4 linked regions of the Diceros bicornis minor genome follow. The protein of the gene in region 1 interacts with the protein of each later gene in a biochemical or structural test. Links are inferred from orthologs where the notes say so. Each region holds a gene or a part of one and is shown in the gene's direction. Other genes may lie near its edges. The genes, in order: LEF1, NLK, MITF and TLE1.

The links.
Region 2: of the proteins of LEF1 (region 1) and NLK, one has a biochemical effect on the other in vitro, tested with the Homo sapiens proteins (4 studies listed by BioGRID). The link is inferred for Diceros bicornis minor from reciprocal best matches to the Homo sapiens genes LEF1 and NLK.
Region 3: the proteins of LEF1 (region 1) and MITF form a complex in vitro, tested with the Homo sapiens proteins (2 studies listed by BioGRID). The link is inferred for Diceros bicornis minor from reciprocal best matches to the Homo sapiens genes LEF1 and MITF.
Region 4: the proteins of LEF1 (region 1) and TLE1 form a complex in vitro, tested with the Homo sapiens proteins (2 studies listed by BioGRID and IntAct, with this or other methods). The link is inferred for Diceros bicornis minor from reciprocal best matches to the Homo sapiens genes LEF1 and TLE1.

What each region holds. Positions count from the first base shown.
Region 1 is NC_080750.1:3,900,950-3,908,713, reverse strand, and holds the start of LEF1 (lymphoid enhancer-binding factor 1), read left to right. Parts: upstream 1-4,748; 5' UTR 4,749-6,180; coding exon 6,181-6,390; intron 6,391-7,764. UniProt on the Homo sapiens protein: Transcription factor that binds DNA in a sequence-specific manner. Participates in the Wnt signaling pathway. Activates transcription of target genes in the presence of CTNNB1 and EP300.
Region 2 is NC_080757.1:19,327,434-19,334,413, reverse strand, and holds the start of NLK (serine/threonine-protein kinase NLK), read left to right. Parts: upstream 1-3,964; 5' UTR 3,965-4,951; coding exon 4,952-5,409; intron 5,410-6,980. UniProt on the Homo sapiens protein: Serine/threonine-protein kinase that regulates a number of transcription factors with key roles in cell fate determination. Positive effector of the non-canonical Wnt signaling pathway, acting downstream of WNT5A, MAP3K7/TAK1 and HIPK2.
Region 3 is NC_080741.1:68,237,189-68,244,334, forward strand, and holds the start of MITF (microphthalmia-associated transcription factor), read left to right. Parts: upstream 1-4,129; 5' UTR 4,130-4,225; coding exon 4,226-4,329; intron 4,330-7,146. UniProt on the Homo sapiens protein: Transcription factor that acts as a master regulator of melanocyte survival and differentiation as well as melanosome biogenesis.
Region 4 is NC_080761.1:12,946,986-12,954,156, forward strand, and holds the start of TLE1 (transducin-like enhancer protein 1), read left to right. Parts: upstream 1-4,171; 5' UTR 4,172-5,547; coding exon 5,548-5,571; intron 5,572-6,359; coding exon 6,360-6,460; intron 6,461-7,171. UniProt on the Homo sapiens protein: Transcriptional corepressor that binds to a number of transcription factors. Inhibits NF-kappa-B-regulated gene expression. Inhibits the transcriptional activation mediated by FOXA2, and by CTNNB1 and TCF family members in Wnt signaling.

The sequences.
Region 1 (7,764 bases):
TGCATTCAAGAATGGGCTTAATGGGTTTTTAACCACAAAAACAGAAATTTTCTGGCTAGTCGCCTGTAGAAAAAGATTTCCAAAGTTTATCAATAAGAGGAATTCAAATGATTCACTAGTTGTGATAGTGAGTGCTTTCATAAAAATAATATTAACACTGGTCTTTCAGAATCTGACTTCTGTGGAAGAAAACTGTGTGGTGCCTGGTATGGAGTGTTGAAAAAGAAGCACTATGCACAACGAACACGTGTACATGTGTCCTGTCAACGTTCTCTTCCCAAACGTGGTCGCAGAAGAAAGTGTGAAGCATTCCGAAATCAGACAATATTTATGGCTGAAGAAATTCAGCTTCACATAACGGTAATTATGAACAAGATATTTTCCCTAATAAAATGACTGCAAAACAAAATCTGGAGAAACTAAGTGTTTCCCTATGTCCTCTTTATTTTATTCCACGTGATCAAGAATGGTCGCGAGAAAGAAAGGGAGGGAGAGAGTAAAAGGGAGCAGAGGGGGAGAGAGAGTCAGAGCCGGACGGCCTCTGCTGAGGGTTGGTTCTGCTTTAGAAACTGGAATGTGTCCAGGCTTGATTTTTATTTTCAATTCACATTTCAGATCCAGCTCCCCAAACTCTTTGATCTTTCTCCCTGTCTCCTTACCCGGAAGAGAACCCTTGGCCTTCTCAGCTGGGAGCTGGGAGCACACGTGGAAAGCCTGGCGAGGATCCATGTTCTCGCCAAATTTAGTCACACAAAGGGGCCTGCAAGGGAAAAGAGAAAGGATGAAAGCGACGGCCGCCGGGACTTCAAAGGCCGCGCCGCCGCGCCGGGCCCTGCGCAGGCGCCGCCCTCGGCGGACTCCGGCGCGGCGCGCGGGCGGCCTCTGCGCGTCCTCCCCCGGCCGGGGCGGCCGGCCCCGGGGCGCGCGGAGGGACCGCGCCGAGGGAGGGCCGGTCCCCACTCCAAGTTCGGGCGCCTGAGAAAAGTTTTCAGAAAGCAAGGAAAAGAATTTCGAGTGCAGCCCACTAGGCGAGCCGTCGTGCGGGCCGCCAAGGGGTCCCAGCCCGCACGTCCATCCACCCCTTTCCGGGCGCCCCCCTTCCGGCCGCACCGCCGGCTCCTGGCGGGAAGCCGGATGCCCGCCGCCGAGCCCTGCCGCGAGCGTGCGTGGCGGGGCCCTGGCTTGCACATCCCGCGCCCTGAGCCCGCCCGCGACCCGCCTTCCTGTCGCGATCACCCCCGCGCTCTCCTGTCCCTCTGGGCGACTCCGGCGGAGCCCGCGCTTCCGGGGGGCGGGGGGCTGGCCGAGCCCGCAGACGGCGGGGCGCACGTGGCCCTCCCTCGCGCCCCGGGCGCACCAGCGGGACGCGGACCCGGGCTCGGCCCGCAGCGCCCGGGGCGCGAGTGCAGCCGGCGGCGCTCGGGGGGCGGGCGGGCGCGGAGGGCGGGCCCGCGGAAGCCCGGCGTCCGCAGGCGGCCGGATTTGGGAACGGCATTTTTACGGTCCCACGAGTTCTGTTACCCGGCGGGTGGGGGTTGAGTTTGTTTGTCTTAGGAGGAGGCAAGAAGGGGCGGAAGAGCCCCTGGGACACAAACTGCCGTTTCCCTCGCCCCCTCTCCCTGTCCGCGAGGTCCGTTAAACCGAAGGCGCCCGCAGCTTTCGTCGCCTGGAGAGGCCGCGGTGGGAGTGGGAGAGGGGGTGCCGGCGCTCCGGCGCTGGAATCGCGTTATTCGTTTTCTAGTCCTGCACGCTCGCTTCTCTCCTCGCGAGCATCCTCTTCCGTAGGCCCGCCACCGCCTTCCTCTGGGATCCCACCAAAGTTGTCGCTGGGAGGGAGTCCAGGCCACACAAAGGCGAAGACCCGGAGCCGGGCGGGGGTTAGGGCCGAGGGGGCGGGGAGGGCTCTCCAGGGCACCGCGCTTGTCTCTGCTCCCTGTAATTAAGGACTCACTGGAGTGTCTGTAGCTGACTCGACTTGGCAGCCAGATCGCCGGGGGAGGGGTCTCCGGTGTAGGTGGGGGTCACTGTCCCGGGTCCCCTGCCCGCGCCCGCAGGGGCTGGGCCCGGCTTACCCTGGGGGTGCGAGGCCCGTCTCCGCTCCCCCCCTCCTCTGTTCCGGCGCAGAAGGAAGTGTTGATATAAAACGAGTCACTGTTCGCTCCCAAACTCAACCCCAACCAACCAAAGCCACCAAGAGGGGAAAAACCAACAGCAATCCAGCCAGCCCCTAGCAATTGTTTCACGGTCGGAATTAAATCACATCAAAACGCCCCCTGAAACCCACATCCTGAAGGAGTGAACCTGCACCAGCCAACCTCCAGTCGTCCGCTCGAGTTCACACGAACAACCTGGCCCTCCAGCCGAGGGAAGGGGGCGGCGGTGGCCGCGCTTCTCCCGCGCCGCACCCACCACATCCCGGACGGTGCGCCCGGAGAGGCGGCCGCAGATGTGCAGAGCAGCCCCCACGCGAATCAGAAAAGACCTCCCGGCAGCAGAGATGCCTTCGCCTGGAACTACCCGAACCCGTGGGGAGGGAGGAACGTCTTCCTCCTGTGTGTCCTGTTTTTTCCCCCAGGAGAGACGACTTCACGTGGAAATGTCAACCTCCCTCCCAGACAAAGCTCTAAAAGACTTGGGTGCATGTTTTCTAGTAAAGCCCCTTGTAAGTGCAGCCGGTCAGAAGATTTGCAACAAGGCTAAGGACAAGCAGCCGACACCCCGCACGCCACGGGGGAGGGAAAACAGCCACGCACACAGAGCCAGGTGCTGGGTGATTTCGTTAGAAACCATGTTTCCAAAGGAGAAGGTTGCCGCAAAATACCAAACGCAGCCACCTACCCTCGGCCCTTCTAGTGAACAGTTCCCACTAGTTATGGTTCCAAAAATTCCCATCTTCTCGAGCTCCTAATCTCCAGGACACCTGGAGCTGAGCTCCAAATGACTCAGGGAGTCCAGATAATTAACAGGAAGGAGAAAATGGGATTCGAATTAGTTGCAACACTTAAACAGGGGGGATGTAGGAGACGTCATTTAATCTCTCTTTGGCTTTCAGAAAATACCCTCTGGCCATTCTGTGTGCCCCCCTCCCCCTCCTCGACGGTTTGATGAAAAGGAACGTGTACTCGGGCTGCTTTGGTGAAACTGCATTTTCCAGTTCTTTTCCTATCCGTCAGATTGGCGCATTTGTGGGAGGACTTTTGACTTTGTTTTCCCATATTTCTTTTAGAACAGAGGGTATTAATGTCTGACATAGCTACATATTCACACCTCTAGGACATTATGCTCACACTGGTGCATAGCTTCAAGGGAAGTTGCATACGGCCACTAAGCAAAAAATAAAATTGAGTTTCTTTCCAACCTTTTTAGCATTGACTTACGGAAACGTTGTAGCAGAATATTCTCTTATGTTTTCCTTCTGTAAAGCATAGCATTGTCAGCTATTTAAAGTGGATTTAATGTTTTACTTTTCCTGGCTCCCATCACCAGCCCCTTATTTTACCCCAATCCTCCAATACAATTTCCCTGTGACTACTGGCCATGCTCCATGTCACCATCTGAACCCTTTAAATGATATAGTTTTAAAAATTGCTTCCTAGTAAATTCCCATCTGTAGGAAGTAGTTATCAGTAGGTGAGGTTTTAAGTGCTCATTTAGAGCATTGTTAAGGTCTTTACTTATACAGTGTCCAGCAGCATGCAATTTCCCCCTTAGAAAAAGAGGGATCTTTACATGACTATTCCTATGTAATAGAGCTCCAGTCTGATTCTGTGGTGTTTTTCCTTATTTTCAATTTAAGAGAGATGGAGACACATTTCTTCCTGCCCCTTGTTTACTGTTCTGAGGTTTTACAGATGGCTACTGTATTGGGCATAATAATTTTGCCTGGATTTTTAACTGAGGGGGGTTCAGAGCCAAGGAACAAAATGTAATGTGTTTTCAAACTCCAGCTCTGCTCATACTGTAACTTTCACAAAGCATCTCCTTAAAAGCCTGTCCTTGTACAAAATGCATCAAAGAGACGGTGGAGGCTGGGGAATTTTTGAGGTTGGATTCGGATTTGCATCTTCAAGGGTCCCTTTGAGCGCGCAGTCGGAGGCGCCAGAGACTGCCCTGTCCTCCCTCCCTCTACTGGCTCCGCTCTCCTGGGTCCTTTTGCCTTGTCTTCTCCCTCCTTGGGTTGTTTTTTCATTCTCTACGAGGTGTCCACACATTGTGCCGTGTATCTCCGAAAATCCACGGGAGACCTAACTCTCTCTGTACATCCCACGGTGAGGATGGAATGAAAGAGATCTTGCTTAAAAAGCTATAATTAAGATCCAGTCTTCAGTTTTTTCTTCCTCGTCCTATTTTTCTCGGTAAGCCTGCAGATTTTATTTTTGCTAGCGTGTGTTCCCTTGTTCTTTGACATTATATTTAGGAAAGCCACAACTGTCTTTCCTGTCCCTCCTGCTTCCGTTCTTTCTTATTAGTTGAGCAATGTCTGTTATATTTTCCCCTTTTCCCTTTTCCCTGTCCGGGATTCCCGCCTCATCCCCTCTGTCAGAGCATCTATCAATGTGGTGTCGATCACAGCTGCGGCGGCTTCTCTTTCATCTTCTTCCCCTGCCAGAGCGAGGGAGGGAAAGAGGGAGGTGGAAAGAGGGTGGGGGAGAGACTGGCGGGGTGGGGGGGAGAAGAGATACTTAGATGATGAAGTTAAACCATTCGGGCAGAGTTTCTTGTCAATTTCACGCGAGCAAAGCGTGCCTCTCGGTGGGTTACAAGAAGCGCCCGGTCCTTCCTTCCCTCGCCAAGTTGCCTGATCCTTTCCTCCAGGCGCGCGCGCGCGCGCACACACACACACACACACATACACACCCCAAAACTAGGACTCGTCCTACAGGCTCTGGGAAAAAAAAGACCTCGATCACCACCTCCTTCTCGCCATCCCCCTCCACCCCCCTACCCCAGCGGGCAGCCAAGGAGAGTTGGAGGCGGGGGAGGGGAGGGGAGGAGAAGCGACGCAAGTGGGTAGCTTTACAGCGCCGGCGAGGCGCGGGAGGAGGAGAACCGGTGGGGAGGCGCCGCAGCTCACCTGCGGGGCAGGGCGCGGAGGAGGGATCCGGGCTGCGCGCGCTCGGGCCAAGGAGCCGGGACGCGCTCGCAGCCCCGCACGCGGCCAAGCTCCGGGCGTCGCCTGGGCCGGGCGAACCCGAGGGGTGCAGCTCTGTGCTTTGACAGAGCGGCCCGGCGGAGGCGTGGAGAGCGGCGAGCGAGTGAGCCAGGCTGAGAAACTCGAGCCGGGAACAAAGGGGTCGGGCTGTGTGTGTGTGTGTGTGTGTGTGTGTCGGCTCCAGCTCCCGGCAGAAGCATTTGGGCCCGAGGACCCTGCTGTGACTTCTCGAGACCCCGCCGTGCCCTCCACTGCCGACTCCCAGCGCTCGCCGGCACAAACTTTATTCTTGGCAAACTTCTTCTCTTTCTCTTCCCCTCCTCCTCCGCCCCCACCTTCTCCTCCTCCTCCTCCTCCTCCAGCAGATTAAATGCGCCTGGAGAGGGAAAACCGAAGCGAAAGGGAAGGAAATAAGAAGCTCTAAAACGGACATCTCCAACCGGGGTGGCTCTTTATTTTTTTTACCCTCCAGGAAGTGGACATTTCGTTATCCTCATATTCTCCTTGCACCTTCTCCGCTGGGGCAAACGGAGCCTTTTTGCCCAGCTCCTTTCTTTACTCGGAAAACAAACTCCCAAAGGGGAAGCTAGGGTGGCGCGGTTGGCTTAGAGACGCGCCGACGGACCCTGCTGCGCACTTCGGAAAGTCGTCCCACTTCTGAACCGGCGTCCTCGGCGCGCGGACCCCGGAGGCGCCGGGGGCGTGGGGCGGCCGCCCGGGCAGCCCAGCCGAGCGCGCGCCACGCCGCACCGCGCCGCGCAGACGCCCCGGAGGCGCCGGCGGCGGCGGCCTTCGCAGCCCCGTGCCCTTCGGCCTCGTGGGCGGGCGCCGGCGTCGGGCTCGGCGGAGCGGGAAGGCGCGGGCGCCGCCGCAGCTGCTCCGGCTGCCGGCCCCGCGCTCGCCGGCCCCGCTTCCGCACGCGTCCTTGCAATTCTCTTCTTCCTCCCCCCGCTTTCGTTGACCCCCCTCTCTTTCCTGCTGTCGCCTCGGTGCTCCCCCAGCGGAGCGGAGATTACAGAGCGGTCGCGATGCCCCAACTCTCCGGGGCCGGCGGCGGCGGGGGGGACCCGGAACTCTGCGCCACGGACGAGATGATCCCCTTCAAGGACGAGGGCGATCCCCAGAAAGAGAAGATCTTCGCCGAGATCAGTCACCCCGAAGAGGAAGGCGACTTAGCTGACATCAAGTCCTCCTTGGTGAACGAGTCCGAAATCATCCCGGCCAGCAACGGACACGAGGTGAGCGGGCCGCCGCCCCGGCTCCGAGAGGCGTGGCGGGTCCCGGGGCGCGGGAGGGGAGGGAGGGCGCCGGCGGTCCGGCCGAGGGGCCCATGGGCGCCCCGGTGGCAGGGGGCGGGGTGGCTGGGCCGCTGGTCAGCGCTTTTCCTGTGTGCGCGTGTGTCGGGGGGGCGGGGGGGCGCAGGGACACTTATCCCGAGTGGGTCTGTTCGGGTTGGGTGGCTGGACCGTGGGTTTGCGGGCAGGAGAAGCTGCCCTTAACCCTGAACGCCTCGCCTTCGGCCTCGTTCGGTGGGCTGAGCGGGTGCGAGGACGTGTGAGCGGCCCTGAAAGTTCTTCCGTAGACGGAAGACGGCGCGCCCGCTGCCTCCGGGTGGGTGTCTGCACGAGTGCGTTAAGCCGCCGGAGGCTCAGGCGAGACGAGCGGAGCCGCAGGGCCGGGGAGGGGAAGGGAGGGGAGGGCAGGGAGGCGGGCGTGGGCCTGGACCCGCGGGCCGTCCCAACCGCCGCCGAGCGGGGCCGGAGCCGCCGAGCGGGGGCGGCGCGGGCGGGTCCCTGGCCCCGAGGTCCCACGCGCCGGCCGAGCCTCCCCGGGGGCCTCGCAGGGCCGCCCGCCACGCCGGTTTTCTCCAGCCCGCGTCACTTAAAGGAAAGAAAAAAGAAAGCGCTTATGTTCGGGGTTAGTTTGGGCCCGGATCAGACCTTCAATCTATGCAGAAAAAGGCGAGTCAGAGTGGAGATGCGGCGGAAGCCAGGGCACCCACTCCGGAGGGTGGAGGGCGCCTTATCAGATCTCCCGGCCGGCGGCGAGCGCGCCGTAACCCGAGCTGGTAAATAGAGACACGTGGGCGCCGGCGAGCGGGAGCGCGAGCCCGGCGCGGGGACGGCGAGTTCAGGCCGCGCGGAGCTAGCGGGGCGGGGGCGGGAGGACCCTGACACCCGACACCCCACCGGCCACCCTCGCCTTCTACTGGGAAACGCTGTGGAGGAAATCCGGTAGAAAGGTCCTGACACTCAAATGGTTTCACCAACGCTTTTTCCCTCCAGAGGAACTTGGAGGGTATACCCTTTTTCCTTAAATGGCATCTTTCTGCCCCCAAAAAGAAAGCGTGTGGTTTTGGGGGCGGGGACATTTTGGGTTTTAAACACACGTTTAAGAACACCTCAGAGTTACCTTCTTAATCCCAATGGCAGGGGTGAGTACGCGTTTTGGAAAGCTGGGGGCCTGGTTCTAGAAGAACATAGGGGTGTTCGTTATCCCCTGAATCTTTCGTTCCCACGTGCCAATTTGACGGGAACCTCGGGAGGGGGGCTAGGGTGCACCCAACCTCATTAAAAACGTTTGTGACTGTGGGGGGGGGAGGCGGGCGGAGG
Region 2 (6,980 bases), on another chromosome or scaffold:
CTGACTCACTTCCGACTTCTCGTTCATCATGCTCAGCTTCTGAAAATGGAACGCGATGGAAAGGGCCGGATATTGTACTGTCTGGTGATGTGTTTCAGGGGAATTGGGTGGCTGTCAGGCCAGCCCCACGTGGACAGAATGCTGGGGACATAAGCTGAGCAGTGCCCAAAGTGTATTTCTCATTTGACACTTAGGACACTTTGCCTTGGATTGTCATACTAATAATAACCATCCCACTTACTGCCACTGATGAGGAGCCAGGCAAGCCCCAGGCTGTGTGCTTTCCATGATTGTCTATTTGAATCATCACAACAACTGGAGAAGTCAGGGATCCTCTCTATTTTATGGACAAGAAAATGCAGACTAAGATAAGTTAAGGAACTTGTCCAAGATCACAGGGATTCAAACCCGTGATCTAGATCTGTGCTGTCTAATCTGGTAGCCACTAGCCCCACGAGGCTAATGAGCACTTGAAATATGGCTAGTGTAACTGAGGAAACTGAATTTTTAATTCAATTGAGATGTGCTGTAAATGCAAAACATACACCAGATTTCAAAGAACTAGTATCAAAATATAACACATATACAATTTTTTACATTGATTACATGTTAAAAATTATAATATTTTGGCTATGTTGGGTTAAATAAAATATATTAAAAATAATTCTACCTGTTTCTTCTAACTTTTTTTTTCTTTTTTTGCTGAGGAAGATTCACCCTGAGCTAACATCTGCTGCCAATCCTCCTTTTTTTTTTGCTTGAGGGTGATTAGCCCTGAGCTAACATCTGTGCCAATCTTCCTCTATTTTGTATGTGGGTCGCCACCATAGCATGCCTGACAAGTGGTATAGGTCCACGCCTGGCGTCTGAACCTGCGAAACAGGGCTGCCAAAGCAGAGCATGCCAAACTTAACCACTATGCCATGGTGCTGGCCCCTCTTCTAACTTTTTAATGTGACTCTTAGAACATTTAAAATTTCATATGTAGCTCTCATTATATTTCTATTGGACAAAGCTGATCTAAACCATAAACATTAAATGGCCACTAGACCAGTGATTTCCCAATATTTTTGATAAAACATTTTGAGCATAAATCTCCAATTTATGTATTTTTATTTATTTATAAATTATATACCTGTACACTACTCCATATATTATGTACATTATAAAACACTGACAAAATGGACATTTTAAAAAGATGTGATAAAAAATAAGCAGAAATAGAAATTTTACTAATTTCTTCCTGGAGCCTAATGGAGTGTGCACACACCATTTTGGAAACTCCTGCACTAGACTTAGAGCTCCTGGAGGGCAGAGACTTTAATTCATGTACCTCCCCTCCCCCGTTGTTGAACCTAGCACCCTGCCTAGATATAGCTTAACAATGTTTGTGGAAGGAATAAATAGTTCTTAATATGCAATCATTTTCTGGTGGATTGGATGTATTTGTTTATTTCACATGTACTGAGCACTTTCTAGGTGCTAGGTACTATACTGGGTGCTGAAAAGTAAACAAAATTAAAGAAGACTCAGCCCCTCTTCTCTAGGCCAGTGCTTCTCAAACTTTCGTTGAGTGTAAGAATCACCTGGAGGGCTTGTTACACAAGACTCCTGGCCCCCAAACCCCCAAGAGATTCTGATTCAGTAGGTCTGGGGTGGAACTTGAGGCTTTGCATTTCTAAGAAGCTTCTAGGAAACTACACTTTGGAGGAGACTGATATGCATTGGGAAATTAGAAAGGCATCCCAAATATCATGTGAGGATGGGGATAGGGAAAGAGAATGAACATATATTGAACTTTCACTATTTACCAAGAACTTTGAAATACATCACCTCAACTTGATGAGGCACATATTATTATCTTCATTTTCAGTTGAGGCAAATGAGACTCAGAAAGGTTAGTTAAATTGCCTGAGTGATAGAGCTAGTTAACGGCAGAGCTTGGATTGGTACCCACTCCTCCTGCACTCAGTAACTCATGCAAATCTTTATTAAGCGTCTTCACCTTTTGGACACTGCCTTAGGAGCCGGGCATATAACATTGAGTGGGACAGACAAGCTTTCTGTCCTGGTCAAACTCAGTAAACAATTAAAATATAGAGTTCTTAGTGCTATGAGGGAAGCAGTGCCGTGGAGATGTATAACCAGACACACAGTCTACAACAGGGTTAGGGAAAGCTTTCCAGAAAAAATATAAAATTTATGTGGAACCTGAACGATAAGTTTGAGGAGTAGAGGGTGGGTGGGGAGTGTTTGGGGCCAAAGATATGCAGGAAAGCTCGAAAGCAACAAACCATTTGAGGTACTGAAAAAAGTTCAGAATGTCTAAAGTAAGGAGGGTGGAGGTGAAAGATAAGGCCGTGGAGAAAGGCGGGAACCAGATCGTGTTGGGCTATTTAGACTTATTGACTTTATTCAAGAGTAGGGGTGATCAAAAATAAGCAGAAATCTTTTTAAAAGATTGCTATGCTCTCAGTGGAGGATGGATTAGAGGAGAGCTAGCCCGTAGGCAGGGAGATTCATTCAAGATGCTAGTGGCATAAATTTGGGTAATACAGTACTGTGGTGATTGGGGAGAAGGAGGGAGTATTTAGAAGTGTTTAAAAGTGTTTAAGACTTGATGATTGACTAGAAGGAGAGGAGTGGGCAGGCAAAAGAGGAATCAAAGATGATCTCCAGGTTTCTGAGTGCACAGTTTTAATAAGATAAGGATCTGTAAGCTTATTATTTCATATTTTAAAAGAAAAGTAAATTCAGATAAGTGAGGTTATGTGAAAGGGAAAGAAAGATGTTATTTTAGTAAGATTTCAATGACTAGTACTTATTGACTTAGAAAATACAGGAGAAAATTATGATTTCTGTGGTTACGTTTATTATCGTTGTTTTAATTTGTATGGATAGCCTTATCATTCGTTGAGAGTGGATAAGAATGCTGGAGATAACGCCTCTTTTCGCTAAGATGAGGATCAGCCATGGAGGACCAGCTTTGGGCTATGAACTGTCAGTTTACTGAATTTCTCTTATGACTGTCTTGTTTAATAACCTTGGACCTTGAAGTTTCTGAAGCTGGACATTCCTTTTTGCTCACCCTACTTCTCCAAATCTTATGCCTTAAAAAGGGAGAGTAGACGGATGCTGTCAATGGACCAGAGATGATTTGGACTCCGCCTTCCTCGTCTAGGCCCCGCCCCTTTTCTTTAGACCACACCCCTTTTACTTGGCTCCGCCCCTGAAGAGGTCGTCGCTGATATGACAGAGAATTCTCCACAATCCTGACCTATAGGGGATCTGAAGGGTGGGACCGAGATCAATCTTTTTTTCCATTTGTCAAATCAAATGTCTATCTGGCCGCAGTCCCATCCCACTTCATCCTCAAGCCAAGGATTGGTTGCTCTGCTCTTGGTTCCAGGCTCATGATTGGTTCTTTCATTCCACCCTCTCTTCCAGCTTTTGCAGGCGGGATTAGCACGCAGCTTCCTGCTCCGGCCAAAAAAATAAAAGAAGAAAAAGAAAAGAGGAGAGAGGCGAAAGAAAATGTCACGGAGATCTTTGGTTTTTAATTCGCTTTTAGCCTTGTCGGTCAGGCCCAACTCTGTCTTTTGATTGGTCTTTCTCTCTGTCCATCCTGGATCGGGGGCGGGATTTCCCCAGGAGACCCACACCTTGTCGCCACTGGCCGAACAGTGCGCCTGTCTGAAGCTCCCGGCCCAGGATTGGAGGCGGACGCGGACAGGTGGGCGTGGATTGGCTAGGGCAGCCGGTCAGTGTGAGGCGGGGGCGGGGCCTCGGCGGCTGGTTGCGCGTGTCCGCCGCTGGCTCCGCTCTATCCGGCTTTGCTAGGGGAGGTGAGTCCGGCCGCGGCGGCACCGGCGGCTGAGGAGGCGGCGGCTGAGGAGAAAGCGGCCGCAGCGGCTGAGGCGAAAGCGGCCGCAGGGACGGAAGCCGGGTGGGGGGGAGGGGGGGAGACGGAACTGCCTTGAGCCCTGCGGGGGCCGTCGCGCGGGGGGACCCACCCGCTCTCCCCCCCAACCCTCCTCAGCAGAAGCAGCCGGCGGCGGGGGCAGGAGTCAGCCCGCTTCCGACTGCACCCCGCCCGCCTCCCGGGGCGCTTATTCTTTGGCCCCGGGACCCTAACCTCATCCCGGGGCGGTTCCCTCTGGGCGTCCGAGAGCTGCCCACCTCTCTTTCATTTCTCCCTGCACCTCCTTACCTTCACTTTGCCCCGGTTCTCTTTCTCCTCTGCGTCCTGCCCTGTCGCCTCCTCCGCTCACCGTCTCTCCTGCCTCCTTCCCTGGCTCTTTCCTGTTCAGGAAAGTTTGGTACCCCCGCCTCCAATCAGGTCAACCTGACCAGGAGCGGGGGGAGATGTAGGAAGGCCTGAGAGTTCGAGGGGGGGGAAAGCTGGTGTCCCTGAAAATTTCCCCCCATCTTTTTAATTTGGGGTGGTTGGAATTTTTTACAGTTGTATTTTTGAGGAGGTGGTAGGTGTTTAGAAAAGGATGTGGGAATGGAAGGGGTAGATGAGTCAACCCTCTTACAGGATTCCAAGGGTGGTGTGTTACCTGATCCTTTTCGTGTGTGGAGTTCAGGGGGTCGGGAGGCTTGGCCTTTATTCCCACATTCAAAGTTGGAACCTCCCCCGAATTAAGGATGGAGTTTTAGTACCCACTTGTGGCAGGAAACCTGGGGGGAAGGGGTCCCTTTTCCCTTTTTCTTTTCTTTTTCTTTTTTTATATTCTTTTATTGTTTTGGCACCCCACACCCTTCCACACACGCTCACCCCGAAATTAAACACCACGATCCTCTAACGTGTTTGGATTGACTGATGAAGACATAAAGCCAGTTCCGCTCCATGTTTTTTGAGGTGGAGTGAGTGGTTTCTCTTCATTTTTAAATGGCCAAATGACAGCTTGACCCAGTTTGCTTTCCAATCAAAGGGCATTTTTTTTGAATGTCTCTTTGTGGCGCAAGAGCCAACGCAAAAATGATGGCGGCTTACAATGGCGGTACATCTGCAGCAGCAGCAGGTCACCACCACCACCATCACCACCACCTTCCACACCTCCCTCCTCCTCACCTCCACCACCACCACCACCCTCAGCACCATCTTCACCCGGGGTCGGCTGCTGCGGTACACCCTGTCCAGCAGCATACTTCTTCGGCAGCTGCGGCAGCCGCAGCAGCGGCCGCAGCTGCAGCCATGTTAAACCCTGGGCAACAACAGCCATATTTCCCATCACCGGCACCGGGTCAGGCTCCTGGACCAGCTGCGGCAGCCCCAGCTCAGGTACAGGCTGCCGCAGCTGCCACAGTTAAGGCGCACCATCATCAGCACTCGCATCATCCACAACAGCAGCTGGATATTGAGCCGGATAGACCTATCGGATATGGAGCCTTTGGTGTTGTCTGGTGAGTATCCAAAGAAAAACACAACTTCTCCAGGTTTCTTATGGTTGTGATTGGCAGAGTCATCTCTGGTGGTTTTCTCCATGTTGACCAAAGTGGAGCAAGCTTCTCAACTCAACTATAGGAAGCCACTTACCCTCACTTCGGTGGTAAAGAGGCCTAACGCGTTGGCTATCTAGGTTTATATTACACTTTTGAGTCATGGCACATTTTGGTGGAACACCCTCTGATGAGTAAATACACAGTCACTTTGCTGTCTACCAAACTTTTGGTTAGAACCTTAGTAAGCCACTGAATGTAGGATCAATAGATGAATGTATGAAATGCTTATTCCTCCAAAGACCTTGGTCATCGCTCGTGTTTGATTTAGTTTGAATCAGTTGCCCAATTGCAGCAAATGTCACAGCTGACCCACACTGGATTCTTTGTAATAGTCTTGTCATTGGGATATGCTTTGCATAGCTACTTTGCTCTCCTTTCCGTCTTTTCATTCCTTAATTTGTGATCTTGATCCCCAGAAGGAAGGTAGGTTCATAGTTGAACCAGTTAAGTCGTTGCTTGAGTGGTTTATTTTAAACCATAAAGCTACATTCGGGAAGCATGTAGCTTTAGCCTTTTGATAAGAATGCATTAAATATAGCATCACACATGAGTACCACAAATGAGGTCAGTAGACTGTAGCTATGCAGTGGCCCACATTTGGTGTAATGTTTTAGTGTTATTTAGTGTCATTTGGTCCCTCTTAAATTGCTGTTATCCCTTGGTTGGTTGCTGTAGTAGGAAGTATACTTTTTAAACATATGAAACTGCTCTACTTTTGCTAGTGCTAGGATATTTTTTTAAAAGTCTAAGGGCTTCTTAAATGCAACATTTCATCTATTTACCCTTCTGAGGAAGATTAGTAGTTTACAGTAAGATGTATTTATCGTTATAGGGTCCTATTCCAGTCAAAACTAGAGCAAACTGAGTTTTTCCCCCCAAGGATTAAGTGTTCTGCTGTGGATAGATGAATTGATGTTTTCAGTGCATTCAAAAATAGATTCTTGTTAACGTCTAGAAAAGCCCCCATAACCACAGGAAAATGAACTCATGGGAACTAGCCTGGTAAATGTCTCCTTTCGTCATTGTTTTTCAGGCTATAATTGATATAAGTATCATTTTTGCATTATATCTGGCCATCTTTATTTATATTTCAGATTTTATCATCTAGGTTACTCAATGACTGATCTGTTGTTTTTAAACTAGTAAAGTCCAGTGTTTTCCTAGCTAGCTCTCCATGGAGGTTGCCGCTGCAGTGCTCCCTTCTCGAAGGTGTGTGGGGTTCCGGGTGGGAAAGAGTGTAGCCGGTAATGGTGCCTGTCAGGCGCTCTGCTCAGGGACCTGCCTGTTCCTGCCTTCCTCTCTTCGCTTCCATATCCTATCCTCAGGGATTGCACTGTGAACTTCCATTCCTTGCCTTACCCTTGAGGAGTCCAAAGCTTGGGGTGTAGGGGGAAGGGTGGATAGCAAAAAGGTTGTTCCTTGCTTTAAATTTTGTCATTGATTTACTGGGAATTTGTTTGGATTTTCTTAGA
Region 3 (7,146 bases), on another chromosome or scaffold:
ATACGCTAGATTTTTTCCTTTCTTTTTTTTATTTTTTGAAGACTAGCTTAGTCACATTTCCAAGAATCCTTTCTCTCTGTCCCCTGCCCTCAATGGTTGCTCCTTTCTCAGACGCTTGTAGCGTGTACCTCTCTGTCACTCTATTTATCCATTAAATCATTTTCGTTCCTATTCCTAAAAAGGCAGGGACTATGTCCTGAGTGTGGGGAATACACGTCTCATCACTGCTATTTCCCCCTTATCTAGCACATAATGTGGCTGGTACAGAGTAGGTGCTCCATAAATAGTTGTTGAGCTAAATAGATATGAAAGTATGATCAAACACCAATCATCTGCTGCTTAGCATTTGCTACCTTATGTGTGGTTTCTCATTGTGTTCCAAGCCTTGACTCAACTCCTGGACTGTGAGCCTCTTGAGGGCAGGGAGGAAGTCAAATACATTCTTGTAGTCCGTTTACCTAACACAATGCCATGTCCATAACTAATGCATGTTCAATGTGTATTAAAACGGGGACCCTTGCCCATGCATCTCTGATGGATTTTTATGAGCTCAACAAGAGGTGCATGTGACATGCATGTGTAAAAAAGTAAACTATTACCTAAATATAGGTCATATTATTAATGACAATAATTAATTATAATCTTTAGCCATTGTTTTTGTACTTTTAATAGGCATAGTTCTTGGTTGAAATATGTGGAGCTATTGACTTTTATTATCTTTTTTTGTGTGTGTGTGAGGAAGATTAGCCCTGAGCTAACATCCGTTGCCAATCCTCCTCTTTTTGCTGAGGAAGACTGGCCCTGGGCTAACATCCATGCCCATCTTTCTCTAACTTTATATGGGACGCCTCCACGGCATGGCTTGACAAAGGGTGCTTCGGTCGGCGTCCTGGATCCGAACCTGCCAACCCTGGGCCGCCGACCCCTGGCCTTGGAAGTGGAGTGTGCAAACATAACCGCTACACCACCAGGCCAGCCCCTTATTGCCTTTTTCTAAGTGGTAGCTACTCCTAGGGTTCAATTCACTAATGAAGAGGGATTACAGGGGCTATCCAGCAGGTGGCCAACTTTTTGTTTGTGGATTAATGGTATAGTAGTCTATAGAAAATTGTCCATTTAAAGGAGTGAAAGGTTTTTAGGGTGATTACTCAAATCTCTTTTGGTTGCAAGTGCCAAAAAGCTAAACCAAATAGTTCTGGCAAAAAGAAAAATTTTTTTGTGGTTCATATACCTAGAAAGTCCAAGGATGTCTGACTTCAGGTATGGTTGGAACGTGAAACTGGAACAATGTTATGGTAGTTTTCTACTTCTCAGTTTTGCTTGTTTCTGCTTCTCTTTGATTGTTGATCTTATCTCAGCCTCTCTTGTTTTTGATCAGCTTTGTTATGTGGCCATAAGTAGTTAGGTCTAGGTTTCCTTTCTTCTAACACTTTGCTTCCAAAAATCAGACAGTCAGTTGCCCTAGCAGAGAAGTCCCAAGGAGGACTTCTAGTCATGGTAGGGTCCTGTGTTCATCCATAAAGGAATCACTGTGGCTAAGGAAATGGGCCCACCTATTGGTCAGGATTAGGTCACATACCCACTCCCATTGGGTTGCTGATGGCGCTGTGATGGATAACCTTGCCATATGTGACAGAAGTTTTCCTGAAGCAAGAGTAGGATGAGACCAGAAGAAAAAATGTAGGGGAAAAGAAATAGCAGCTATCGGGCCGGCCGGTGGCTCAAGCGGTTAAGTGCGTATGCTCCGCTGCGGCGGCCCAGGGTTCGCTGTCCCGGATCCTGGGTGTGCACCGAGGCACTGCTTGGCAAGCCATGCTGTAGCGGTGTCCCATATAAAGTGGAGAAAGATGGGCATGGATGTTAGCCCAGGGCCAGTCTTCCTCAGCAAAAAAGAGGAGGATTGGCATTGGATGTTAGCTCAGGGCTGGTCTTCCTCACAAGAAAAAAAAAAAAGAAAAAAAAATAGCAGCTACCTGTGTCTACTCAGGGCAACCTCATCTCAGAGCTTTGCACCCTAGGGATCTCTCTGGAAGGTGCCCTTAGTTGGAGGTAAGTTCAGAGGTCTTAGCTTTCTTGACAGTTTTTTCCCCTTCAGGTTTGGTCCTTTAGGTCTAGTAGATCACTGTTTGATATAATGAATGATGAAACGGACTGTTTCATTACAGTTCAAAAGAGGTTATAAACTGCAGTTCTAACATGAATCCTTGATGGTCTTTAAAGGTCAACAGGCCAAAATTATGCACAGAATCTTGTTTATATCTATATTTCTGGGGAGAAGGTCCATAGCTTTCCTCAGATTAAAAAGCTTCTGGTGAACCAAAAGATTATGAAGAGTCTAGTGTTTCTCCATGGGGGTACCACCGATATTTGGACAAGAGAGTCTGTCATTGTATAGCATCTCTGACCCATACCCCTTAAATGCCTGTAATACTCCCAAGCTATTAATGATGATCAACCCCTCCTCCCACATTCCAAGCATTCTACGGTTGAGAATCAAGATGAGACTAGGAGTCTAGGCTGAATGTTCCCTTCATGTTTTACCTCTCTTCTTCCTTCTGGCAGAGAGTAACACTTTACTTTTAACATCTGATTTCTAGCAGTCCGGCGATCAAGGAACGTGGGATACCACATTCATGAGCACAAAAAGCCCACTTTCCTCAAGAGTGTTCAGGTTCTGTCATAGTTTAATGGTATGGACCAAACGTGAAATTAAAATGTTTCATTGTGAGGCAAAACGTGCAAAGGGCAAGTCCTGAGAGATGTCCAGTCGTTAATCTAACCTCCTCAGAGTTTTCTCCCAGGATGATCATTTAGTTTATTACTTCTGAAAGGACAAAATCACAGATGAAATGTTCGTCTGCAAGGAATATCCTCAAGATCTAATAAATAAAACAATGACCATTGAACACCATTTTTACAGACTACAAATCACTTTCTCTTGCATTTGACCTTGCAACATCTTCTACAACAGGTTTGCCAATCTCCTCTTTCAGAGATGAAGAAATCAAGGCTTCTAGGAATCAAGTGACATGCTCACCATTACACAGCGCTTTAGAGAAGGACTTGGGATTTCAGCTCTGGGTCTTGTAACTTTAAACACCACCCTCTAACTCTCTACCGCCTCCCTGATGCCTCAAGACTTTTAAAAGAAGGAACACATCCTACTGGAACTAATCAGAGAGCAGGACTGGAAGTACAAATGAGCCATACCAGACCCTGTTATTCTGGTCCCTAAGTGAATGCCGGGAAGCTCAGGGGAGGGTTGACGCTTGCACAGTTTATGTACCCCACAATTTCACTCCTGAAATGTTAGGACAATCTCGTTTGAACTCCCGGCCAACTGAGAAATTAAAAGCAGACAGTGATGACGCTGTTTTGTTAACTTTGTGCCTTTTAAAATTCACCGAACCTTTGAAGTGTTGCTTTAGATTAGAAGTGGCTAATTGGATAGAGCGGACAGAGCCACTCAGCTGGATGAATAGTATTTTACAAGCCCAGTCCGGGTCAGTTATAGAAATGAAACGCACAAGAGCACTTTCTACAGTGTTTTAATTACAAAGTGAAGGAAACTTCCTCCACTCTGTTCCAATCCGAGGACAAGCTGATATGTCGCAGCAGCGCTGGGAAGCACGCAGGCTGATAGGAAGACCTTTTATTTTAAGGGAGGCTTGAAGGCTAAAACTTTGTAGTGCAAAACACTTCACTATTTTTTTTTTGTTTTTAATAACGACTTGGCGTGCCCTCTCAAGTGTCTGAGCTGGGAGGCGGGATGACGATAGGAGAACAGGGCTGAGTCCGTTCTTATTAATATTAAATAGCCAAGTCTGTACCCTTGAAGTAAGCGGGGAGAGACGAGCGAGAGGAGCTGCTGACATTGACAATGAATCCAAACAGGAGTTGCACTAGCGGTGTCCACCACGTTGCCTCTGCCCCCGCCTGGCCTTCTGGGAGTTGTAGTTTTCGCGGGAGCTGCTCCCCTGGCGAGCCGGGAATGCCCCGCCCGGACCGAACTACAGATCCCAGGCAGCGCTCGGCCGCCGGCCCCTCCCGCCCGAGTGCGAGTGTAAACTCACCGCGCTGGGGCGGGCGGCCGCGCGCGGGTGAGGGGCTGAGCTCGGCACAGCGCGGGGGCGCGCCGCTCGGGGGACCCAGGCCCCGCCACCTTCCCTCCGCCCCCGGGTTCTGTTCGCACTTTCCAGCAGTAGAAGGCCGGGAAGCGGGAGCCATGCAGTCGGAATCGGGGATCGTGCCGGATTTCGAAGTCGGGGAGGAGTTTCACGAAGAGCCCAAAACCTATTACGAACTCAAAAGTCAACCCCTGAAGAGCAGGTGAGTGGTGACAGTTGGAGGGAGGCGCGGCGGGCGGCTGGGGGGCCCCGCGCCTCCCACCTTGGGGCGTGGAAAGCCGGTTGGCCGGGCTCTGGGACAAGGACCCCGTGCCCTTGCCCCGGGGCAGAGGGCGAACTGCCCCCCGCACTTGGGGGCCGTGCACGCCCAGCCGGTGCGCCTCCGGGGGGTCTCCGCCGAAGCGCACTCCGCGGGCGCGGCGGGCAGCCTGGGACCGCCCGCCCCGGCGAGGGGACCCTTGGCTGGGGATACCAGTGGGGGCTGGGGAGCGACCCGGAGCAGAGGTGGGGGAGGAGGAGCGCCGGGCCGGGAGGCAGTCGCGGTGGAAGGGAGGGAAGAAGAGTTTCTAGTGAAGCCCTTTTTTGAAGATCTCAACGGGCTGACGACTTGGAGAGGGAGAGCTTGGGGTGGATTGAGGCGCGACGTTCGAGGGAAGCAATTAGCTTGTCTGTTGTCGCCTCTTAGGAGTCCGGTCCCTGTGGGAAAACCCGCCCCTGGCCGCCTCCAGGTGAGGTTTCTCTGAGCCCCGCCTCTCACCTTCCCGCAGGCTGCACCCGAGCGCGGGCGGGGCCAGGGGCAGCGAGGGGGCGTGTCTCCTCGTCCAGGTTAAACTCCCTGGGCGATAGAGTCCCATTCAAATCCAGGCCTTACCTGGAGGGGAAAAAGCCTTGGGACTGGAGGGTTTTGGGAGTGTCCCCTGCTTGGCAACGACACGTGTTTATTTCTCTGGGGACTTCAAAAACTTTTTAGGAGAGTGAAGACACTGGCAGGTCTGGCGCCCCACCATCTCTAGTGCCCACTTTCTATGTTACCTCCACTCCCACTCATCTGTCGGAATGGGTTGGAGATCTTCCTTTCTGTCCTGTGGCACTCCGGACATTCCCATAGTTCACTAAGAGGGAGATGGTCATTTGAGGCTGTAGTAGTAGAGAAGGGTTCATTTCCACCCCTCAGTTGTGACATAAGATAAGGCTACAACTGGAAGGTTCAGCAGTGCTTCAGCACTCTCTCAAACCTTCCTGCCTGCCCCTGGCTTTGGGTAGGGCCTGGGTGAATGGACCTGGCTGGCAGAGGGGGAGTGGGTCCAGAAATCAGGGTGAATGAAGAAGGGCAGCTCAGTTAGGAGTGAGGTGGTGTAATCTTTGCTTCTGGGGCACAGGAGGCTGGTACTTGCTCTAGCTGAAAGCAGAGCCAGGCTTGTTTCCTTCAGGCCAATGTCAAGACTGAAACCAAATTGGGGAAGAAAATCTGGGAACAGCACACCCACCGACCGGGTTGCTGAAGCAGCCACTTTGCTGATGCTTCACCAAGATTGGGAGGAAACCTCCTATGCAGTTAGATGCATAAAACTAGCCTTTAGTTGGTGGTTTTTCTTCATAATGGCTGTTTTGTGTGTGAGCATAGATTGTGTGTGTTGGGGGTTGGGGGTTTTGAGTAATATTGTGTAAAGGGTATTGTTGGTTATGCTCATTGGGGCTTTATCTGCATTCGGCTGAAGGGACCAGTGTTTTACCAGGCAGTCTCTGCTTTTGCTTCTATAAGCAAATGCTTGCATGACCAGAATGAGGGAGTGAGTGTGCGTGTGTGTGTAGTCCTGAAAGAAATGAATTAACCGGACTGTTTAGAACATTTTTGATGGTAGCTGATACATAAATTAAATGACTGAGAGAGTGAGGAAAATACCATCTGGAAAAACCTAAATGAGTGCCATGAAACTCCTGTTGAAGGATTTGGGCCTGCTCTTTTTCAGAGTCGGCAAAAAATTACTTGCAAGGGTGAACGTCCTCGGCAGCTAGCTAGCACATGTAAGGAAAAATGTGCGTACGTGGGAAGCAGTGGCTTCACACGTTGAAGCTAGAAACAGGTGCGGGACAGAACCGGTATGGAGAGGAAGGCTAAATTAAAAAAGTTGTTGTAAAACTTGTCTGTGGAGCAGACACATGCTCTTTGAAATAAACCAGTTAAATAAAATCTGTGAATAAATATATGGGGTTGGCAAAATTCCCCCATACTGTTTTCCACAGTTGTCTAACGTATTGTCATCGACATCTGTTGTGTGACTTTAAAAGGGCCACACGTTGTTCAGGGTCTCCTCATAGCTTTTTGTCTTAAGTCTTTGCTGGGGCACTTACCTTCTTGTAAGTCGTGGATGGAAAAAGTTGAAATTGAAAGCTTAAGGCTGCTGTAGCCATTTCATCTATGAACTGTGTTCTCCGGATTGTATCTTGGAGTTGAAAATATGTCCAGAATCTGCCCCCTTCTCACCAACTCCTCTGCTACCTCTTTGGTCCACGCCAGCACCAGCCCTCGCCTGGGTTAATGCAGTAGTCTCTTAACTGCTCTCCTGCCTTCCACCCTTACCCTCTTTCAGTGGATTTTCAACATAGCAACCACAATGTTCCTGTTAAAATTGGTTCTCAATCTGGGGGCGATTTTGCAATGCCTGGAGACATTTTTGGTTGTCACAATGGAAGGAGGTTGCTACTGGCCTTTAGGAAGTAGAGGCTAGAGGTGCAAAGCATTCTGTAGTGCACAGGACAGCCCCCACAATAAAGAATTATCTGGCCCCAAATCGTCACTGCTGAGGTTGAGAAACCCTGTGTTAAAACGTGTTACATCATGTCATTCTCTTCTCAAAACCCTCCAGTGGCTCCTAGTTTCAGTAGAACTCAAGATCCTTAAAATGGCACAAGCAGCCTCTCTGGGCAAGCTCCCTGTCAGCTCTGACTTTCTTGCTTGCTGCCCCTCTCCTGGCTCCCTCTGCTTCAGCCAGGTTGGTCTCCTTGCTATTCCTGGAAC
Region 4 (7,171 bases), on another chromosome or scaffold:
ATTAGCACCAAGCATCTTCCCACATGTTAATGTTCAGCGCTTTAGATGTTCGCTCCCCTCTCCCCCAAAGACAGCATGGTGGTGGTTCCAGAAAGAGCACATTTATCTCCGTGTTTGGGAGCGCCTGTGTGGTCTCTGCCTAATTTATTTGCACTCCAGTCCTCAGGGATAGCATCGAAATCCCCACAAGCAAAGGGGGATTAGGGAGTGGGACTGTCTGCTTCTCTCCACCCCAAGGAGAAGGGAAAACAACTTCCCCACTCCCACAAGTTCTTCGGGCCACTGTACAAATTGTTCTTGAGCATGGAGGGTTTCCAAAAGCCCTAATTAGCAACTCACAGCAAACATTTCTTTGCATTAGCTAATGATCCGGCTACACTTGTAAGCAAACAGAACCAACATATCTAATCAATGGTGGAAAACCAACCAAATGCCTATTAAACATCTGGATGTAATTTTCTAGTTAGGACAAAATGAAAACATATGCAGGTTCCTTTGATCTGCATCTTAACAAAGAAATTGTTGATAAAAAAGCATACCGGTCAGTCAATGTGTCATTTTCATAAAGTCTGCTCGTTTCTCTTCAAATGCTCCCAGTTTAATTTAGTTGGTTTCCTGCAATCTCTAATTTTACCATATTGTGTGAAACCGCAAGAGATTCTTTGGATGTGATTTTATTTGAGGTTTTACTGCTGCATGGATCTGCTACCGATTTTTTTTTTTCCTTCTCTGCTTTCTCCCTTCCACTCCCCACACCTATCCTGCCCTTTTCTTTGGTAAAGGGATGGGGGGAAAAGGTTATAAAGCAATGCTAGGAAAATTTCTTCTGGACCCTACATTCTTAGGTTTAAGAAAATTCCCAGGTTAAAAAAAAGTCCAGTGAGGAAACGCATAAGCAATAACTCACAGCTAAAAGCAAAAGAAAATGACTAAAGTGATCCTTTAAAAATTAACATTATTATTTCAAATAAAAAATAGATTTAAAAGATGCATAATTTCCATGACCAGCATCCATGATTTTTCTGATTGTGTCTAGTACCTATATTATATGTGACATCTAGTTTTTGTAATTACTTCTGCTATTGCTGATTGAAAATTTGATAGTCAGCAACAAATGAATGGAAATATACCCACATATGCATCAATGATAAAATAAACAATCTGGCAATCTTTTCCTTTCTTTTGCAGAAGATAAAAAGAGAACTTTTTTCAGAGACAATTTCCTATAGAAGCAGAGTACTTAATATTATTTCATGTAAAAACATCATCAACATATGAATATCTTAAAGGTAAAGAAGATTATGGTTAACAGACTTTAAATAGAAGACCAAAATTATAGATTTCATGAGTAGGACTATTTTCTTTTAAACAGGCTGTAGGCAATCTGCACATATATTTATTTAAAACATAAGATTAAAGCTACTTGATTGTTTAAACACCATCATTTGTAATGCAGTTTGATGAGAGTTTTGTAGTATAATTATTACAGCATGACAATCATAGAGAAAATATGACCTTGAAAAGGGACACAGCCTTCTCCCTCTCTCAAGGAGGATGCGCTGTATGAGAAAGAAACCATTGAAAACCAACTGTCTTTATGCACACAATTAAAGGCCTTGCAATTTTAAAATCATCATTCTGTCTTTGCTCCAGATACTACATTATAGGGAAATCAGAAGGCCTAGTGTTTCAAACTCTGCTGGGAAGAAAGCACTAGTTAAGAGTATTTCCAGTTTTTATCCATGGCAAATGGGAAATACGGTGAGTAGATGTTGGCTGTGAAAAGCTGTATTAGAGAACATTTAAAGACAATGTGTTAGAACTGATTTTGAAGAGGATAGGGAGGGGAGAGAAGAGGAGAAGTAGCAACACTTTTGCTCCCGTCTCAACATATACCATTTTAATTTCTCAGTTTAAACTTAATTACCCACGTGTGCCCGTAAATCAAAGTAAAGCTTGGGTAACCCAGGGAGAAGTCTCAGTGGCCCCACTTGTCCTGGCACCCCCGGGCATCATTTGTGGCATCCAAGCACTTTCTACACAGTCCTGGAGCTGATTATGGGATGAACTGACCACAGACTGGCATACGTGGCCCAATTACTAGATGAAGATTTCAAGGAACAGAGGCTGCCAGAGGACAAAGCTGAGTTGCCCATGGATCACGTAATTTCAAAACAGTCCCGTACGCAGAGGAGCAAGCCTGCTCTTGTCGTGACCAAACTTAACCAAGGAAAGAGGGTCAGTGCTTCCTTCCTTTTCATTCTCTGTGATAGCATAATGAATAATATAAGCCTTTCCCCATCCCACTTAATGAGAACACTGCAAAGCCACAATGCTGAACTTGTTTAAGAAATTACTATCGCCTTGTACAGACTGGCTAAAATCACCCCTTTAATTTTTCATTTATAATTGATATTTGGGATTGATGCAATTATAGACAAATCAATATCATACATATTTAAGAATGACTCCCACAGTGAAATACATTATCTAAAATGATTCTTTTAATATTTCAAGAAAAAGATCTCTGTAAAAGCAAATCTTCAAATAGCATATATTTCTGTTTAAATAAGTGCCTCTCCGTAAGTCTCTTGAAAGTAAAATAATGGGAAAAGTGGAGGTTAATACCAAAAACTTGTTAAGTAGCTGCCAATATAAGATGAACGCTTGTCAAAGATGTGTCCTCTCATGGAAGAATTCACCACCATTCGCCTAAAAGAGCATTAGTCACTCACCAATCATGTGGAAACAGCTCAACTGAATTGTTGTTTAAACAAAAGTATAAAAGCGGCAATATTGAAGGCTTTCTGCTGTGTGGTGTATTTAGAGAAACAGAAACTGAAGACTTACACAGTATGCTCCGTTTATTTAAGATCTCAAAATGTCTTTTAAGTCAAGGTCCACCCCATAAGAATGTTAGCCATGTCATTTACCCAACGCTTCCCATCTAGCTCCTTACGCAGCTCTGCCTGAGGTACCACCCAAACTATGGGGGTGGGGTGGGCAGGACAGGTTTTTCAGGTCTCAATGCTGGTTTATCCCATTGTCTCCCTTTGTTTCCAGGAATTGGAAACAGACTCGCGGTCATGCTGCTGAGAGGCCCCTAAGACTCTCAGCAGCCCTCTACCCCCCTACACAGCGAAATCCAGACTTTTAAGACAAGGACCTGAGATTTCGCGCCGCGGGCAAAGCATCGCATCTGCGACTGGGGCACGCGTGCCTGACCCTGGCAGCACCTTGGTATCCTTCCCGCCAAACGAAGGCAGGCCGAACTTATTGCAAAGTGGGTTGAAATCCTTCAATAAAACCCAAATCCTACCACCTTGGGTGCAGAGGAGGTGTAGGCATTAAAAGCCTAGTCTTACGCGGCTGGTGTACGTACACCAGCCAATACGTTGCCCACTTATGCATTTTCCACCAAGAGCACAGTCCACTCCTTCTTGTGCATCCGCGAAAAGGCAGCTCAAGGGAAAACAAACCTCAGAGAAATTTTTGAATGGGACCTCACTTTCAGGGGTAGCATCAAACAAGGGGTCAGCACCGAAAGAAGCATTCCGCTCGAACTACCAAAAAAGCCCCCTCACCCCTTTAAGAAACTACTCTGTTAGTCTATCAGTTACTTTCACTGAGATCTGAGAATTTTCATGAAAGGGAAAAGTGAACAAGTGGCAGGATTTTTGCAAACTCGAGCCCCCACCTTCCGCGACTGCACGCTCGCCGGTCGGTCCCTCCCGCCCGCGCGCATCCGCGCGCTCCCTCGCCAGCCCCACGTTACTTTGATTGACAGCCCGGGCCCGCCGCTCTCCTTCCCACCGACCTTCCCATCCACGGTGCCAATCTCCGCGGCACGCCGCTTCCCATTGGCTGGTTTCGGCGTCCCGCGGCTCCTCCAGGAACAGTGCCTCACCGAGCCCGGGAGGACGCGGCTGGCGGAGGAGTGGTGGGGGTGGGGTGGGAGGGGAGACGGGGGAGACGGCGGAGATGGAAGCGAGTGGGGTGGGAGAGGAGGGGGGGAAACGGCCCGTCCGGTGCTGCGCTGCCATAGGCTCTGGGGAGGCGTCACGTCAACACCCCACGTTGGGCGCAGCGCACGCGATTGGCTGACGCGGGCCTCCCCGTGCCCCCCCCCAACGCCTCGGCCCACGTCCCCCGCCGGCTCCGCACTCGCGCCCCCCGCCCGCGCCGGGCTGGGCGGGGCCCGCGCTGGTTAGCTCTGGAGTGTGAAACCGCGTGTTAATGTAACCGGCGCGAGAGGCGCGGGCGGCGGCGGCGGGAGCGGCGGCTGCAGGAGCAGCAGCAGCAGCGGATACCCTGTGCCCCGCGTCCCCGAGGCAGCCGATTGCGCCACCCCACCCTCTCACGGCCGGGCGGGACCCGCGCCACCAGCCCGGACCTCTGTCGGCCCGCGGCGACTTAAACCCCGCCGGCTGCCGCCGCCGCGACTATTCCGGACTCGCCCGCGGAGTTTGCCCGCCGGGGAGGGAGGCCGAGCGGCGGAGTGCACTCTTGCTCCTCTCCCCACCATCTCGTGGATGTCGTCCCCCGGGTCGTGAGAGAACTTTGCAGCGGGCTGGAGCGCCCTTCGCGGAGAGGCAGACGAAGGGGAGGAAAGAAAGAGGACCGAGGAGGGGGCTCGGAGGAAGGGTCCAGGGCGGCCGAGGCAGTCGTGCGGGGCGAGTGCGCGCGGGGCGTGGCGCCCGGATGCGCCCCGGGCTGGAGGAGCGGCGTGCGGCTACGGGACTGCCCTCCGCCGATTAGCCCCGTCGGGCCAGGAAGGTTTGTGCAAGCGCCGAGAACACCGAGTACCGGTGGCGCGGGGCGTGCCGAGCCGCCTCCCGGCGCGCCCTCCGCACTTTCCCCGCCTCGGCGTCATCCCGCGCTCCTCGGCTCCCGCTGAGGCTGCGGAGCGCCGGGCGCGGAGCCTCCGTCGCGGCCCGGACCTCGCTCTCGCCGCCTCCCGGGGCCCCGCGAGCGCTCGGCCCAAGGCGCTGCCCGGCCCCTCAGGGGTCGGCCTCGAACGGCGTCAGGTTTGTTTTTGTGGGTTAGCCGTGGGCGTCGCGCCACCTGCACCTCGCCCGCGGCCGGCGCCGTGGGGAAAACTCGGAGGAGGCGGATCGGGAGAAAAGCGAAGGAAGGCGGCCCGCTTGGATCTGTTTGCTCGGGACGGCGACGCGCACGCGGATCTCGGAGGGGAGCGCGGCCGGAGTCACCCCCACCTCCCCGCCCGGGCGGCCGAGGCCGCGGCTTGGAGCGCAGCCCCCGCGCCGTCTTCCTGGGCGCCGGCGTCGCCGCACCGAGTCTGGTGCCCCGGGGCGCCCCGCGATGTGGCCCTGAGCGCGGGAGCCCGCACCGGCGGGAGCAGGAGCAGCCGGGCGCCGAGTGGCCGGTGCGCCCCGCCGAGCGCGCCTGCGTGCGCGGCCAGCGCGTCCCCCGCGCTCCCGGTTTCTGCCTGGCTTCCCGGCTTAATTTTCCTCGGCGGGATTAAAGTTGGAAATTGAGCGGAGAATTGAGTTGCCCGGGAACAGAGCTGCGGCCGCCGCCAGAGCGATGTTCCCGCAGAGCCGGCACCCGGTGAGGCGCGGCCGAGGGGCTCATGGGGGGCAGGGTAGTGAGGGGGGGGGCGCTGGTTTTTTGACGTGTGTAAACGGGTGGCTGCTACATTCTGGCAGACCCTGTCCCCCAGGAGTGCAAGGCTGCGGAGGTCCCGGGCCCTTCCCTCCTGGGGTGGGGAGTGGGCTGAAGCCCTCAATTTCCATGCTTTTCTCTGGGCTCCTTCCCACTTGACGTCTAGACAGGGCGGGCGGGTGCGCCCGGGGAGGCTGGGGTTTCTCTCCCGCAGCCACATCCTCCCCCTTCCCTGAGGCGAGTAGGGCGCCCCCCCTTTGTTTCTCGTCTCGCTTATTTGCATGTCAATGCGGCCCCCGTTCCGGCGCGCCTGGAGGTGGCCCCGGTGACTCTGGGAACCGGGAACGTAAGGGAGTTGTTTTTCTTTTCTGGTCCCCGGGGTCATTATCGTCCCCGTGGGGGGAGGGGGCGGCGACGAGGAAGACAGTCTCGCCTCGTCCTCCGCGGCCGCCCGGGAGCCCCTTTCCCTCCAGCCAGGAGACCCGGGCGCACTCACCGCGACCCGCTGTGGATGCCGGAAGAGGCTCCGAGCCACCTTTAGGAGCCGGGGGTCGGGGGAGGGTCCGCTTTCCCGCTCCCCAAAGTGAAGCGCAAACTCGAGTTCCCGACTGCGTTTTCCTCCACTTCTAACTTTATTTTTTGTTTATGTCCCACCCACTCCACTGCCCGCTGACTTACTGCTTTATCCATCCGCCCGCATCCCGTCCCTCGTCCCCCTCGCTGGTCGCCCCCAGACGCCGCACCAGGCTGCAGGCCAGCCCTTCAAGTTTACTATCCCGGAGTCCCTGGACCGGATTAAAGAGGAATTCCAGTTCCTGCAGGCGCAGTATCACAGGTGCGTGTCCGGCCGCGCGGGGCGAGTGGTCGCACGGGCAGCCCCGCGGCGCTCTGCGCCCAGCCTGGTGGCGGCGGCGGCTGTACTTAGTGCTTGCGTCCAGGCGGTGGCGTGTGGAGTCGCAGTTAAGACCTGTCATTCACGCTACCCCCTTTCCTGGCTCTTCCCGGGCCGCCTCTTCTCTTGTCTCCACCTCCTCCCATTGTTTCCCTTTTGCGCGTTTGCTGCTCTTCCAGGGAGTCTATTTTCGTCTATTTAGGAGTTGCATGAGAATCGTCAATATTTGCACTTCATTTATTTATTTTGCAACAGGCTGAGCTGAAACCTTCGTTCCAGCGATGCCCCAGCCCTGGAGTGCGGGTTCAGGGAGGCAAAGCCAGTGTTGAAATCGCTGTTTGCCATACTAGAGAATTGGGTTGTCTGAGGCAAAGTCCTTTATGGAGGGCTAGATGCTTTTCGCTGTCCCCTTCGTTGGTGGTGATGAGGGGAGTGATAGTGTGTAGGGGAAAGCTATCTGCTTTGGTGTTATTCTGGACTGGTTTGGGTAGGACAAGGGATTGGAGTCACATTTACATTCATCTCAGCTTTAGTTTCTTCATCTAATAACACCTACTTAAAAAGATTTATAAATGAAAACTATGTGTAAAGTACCCTGTCTGTCTAGTGGACTTTGGGAAACGTTAGTTTCTTCCTTTGCTCCTTTGAAATCTT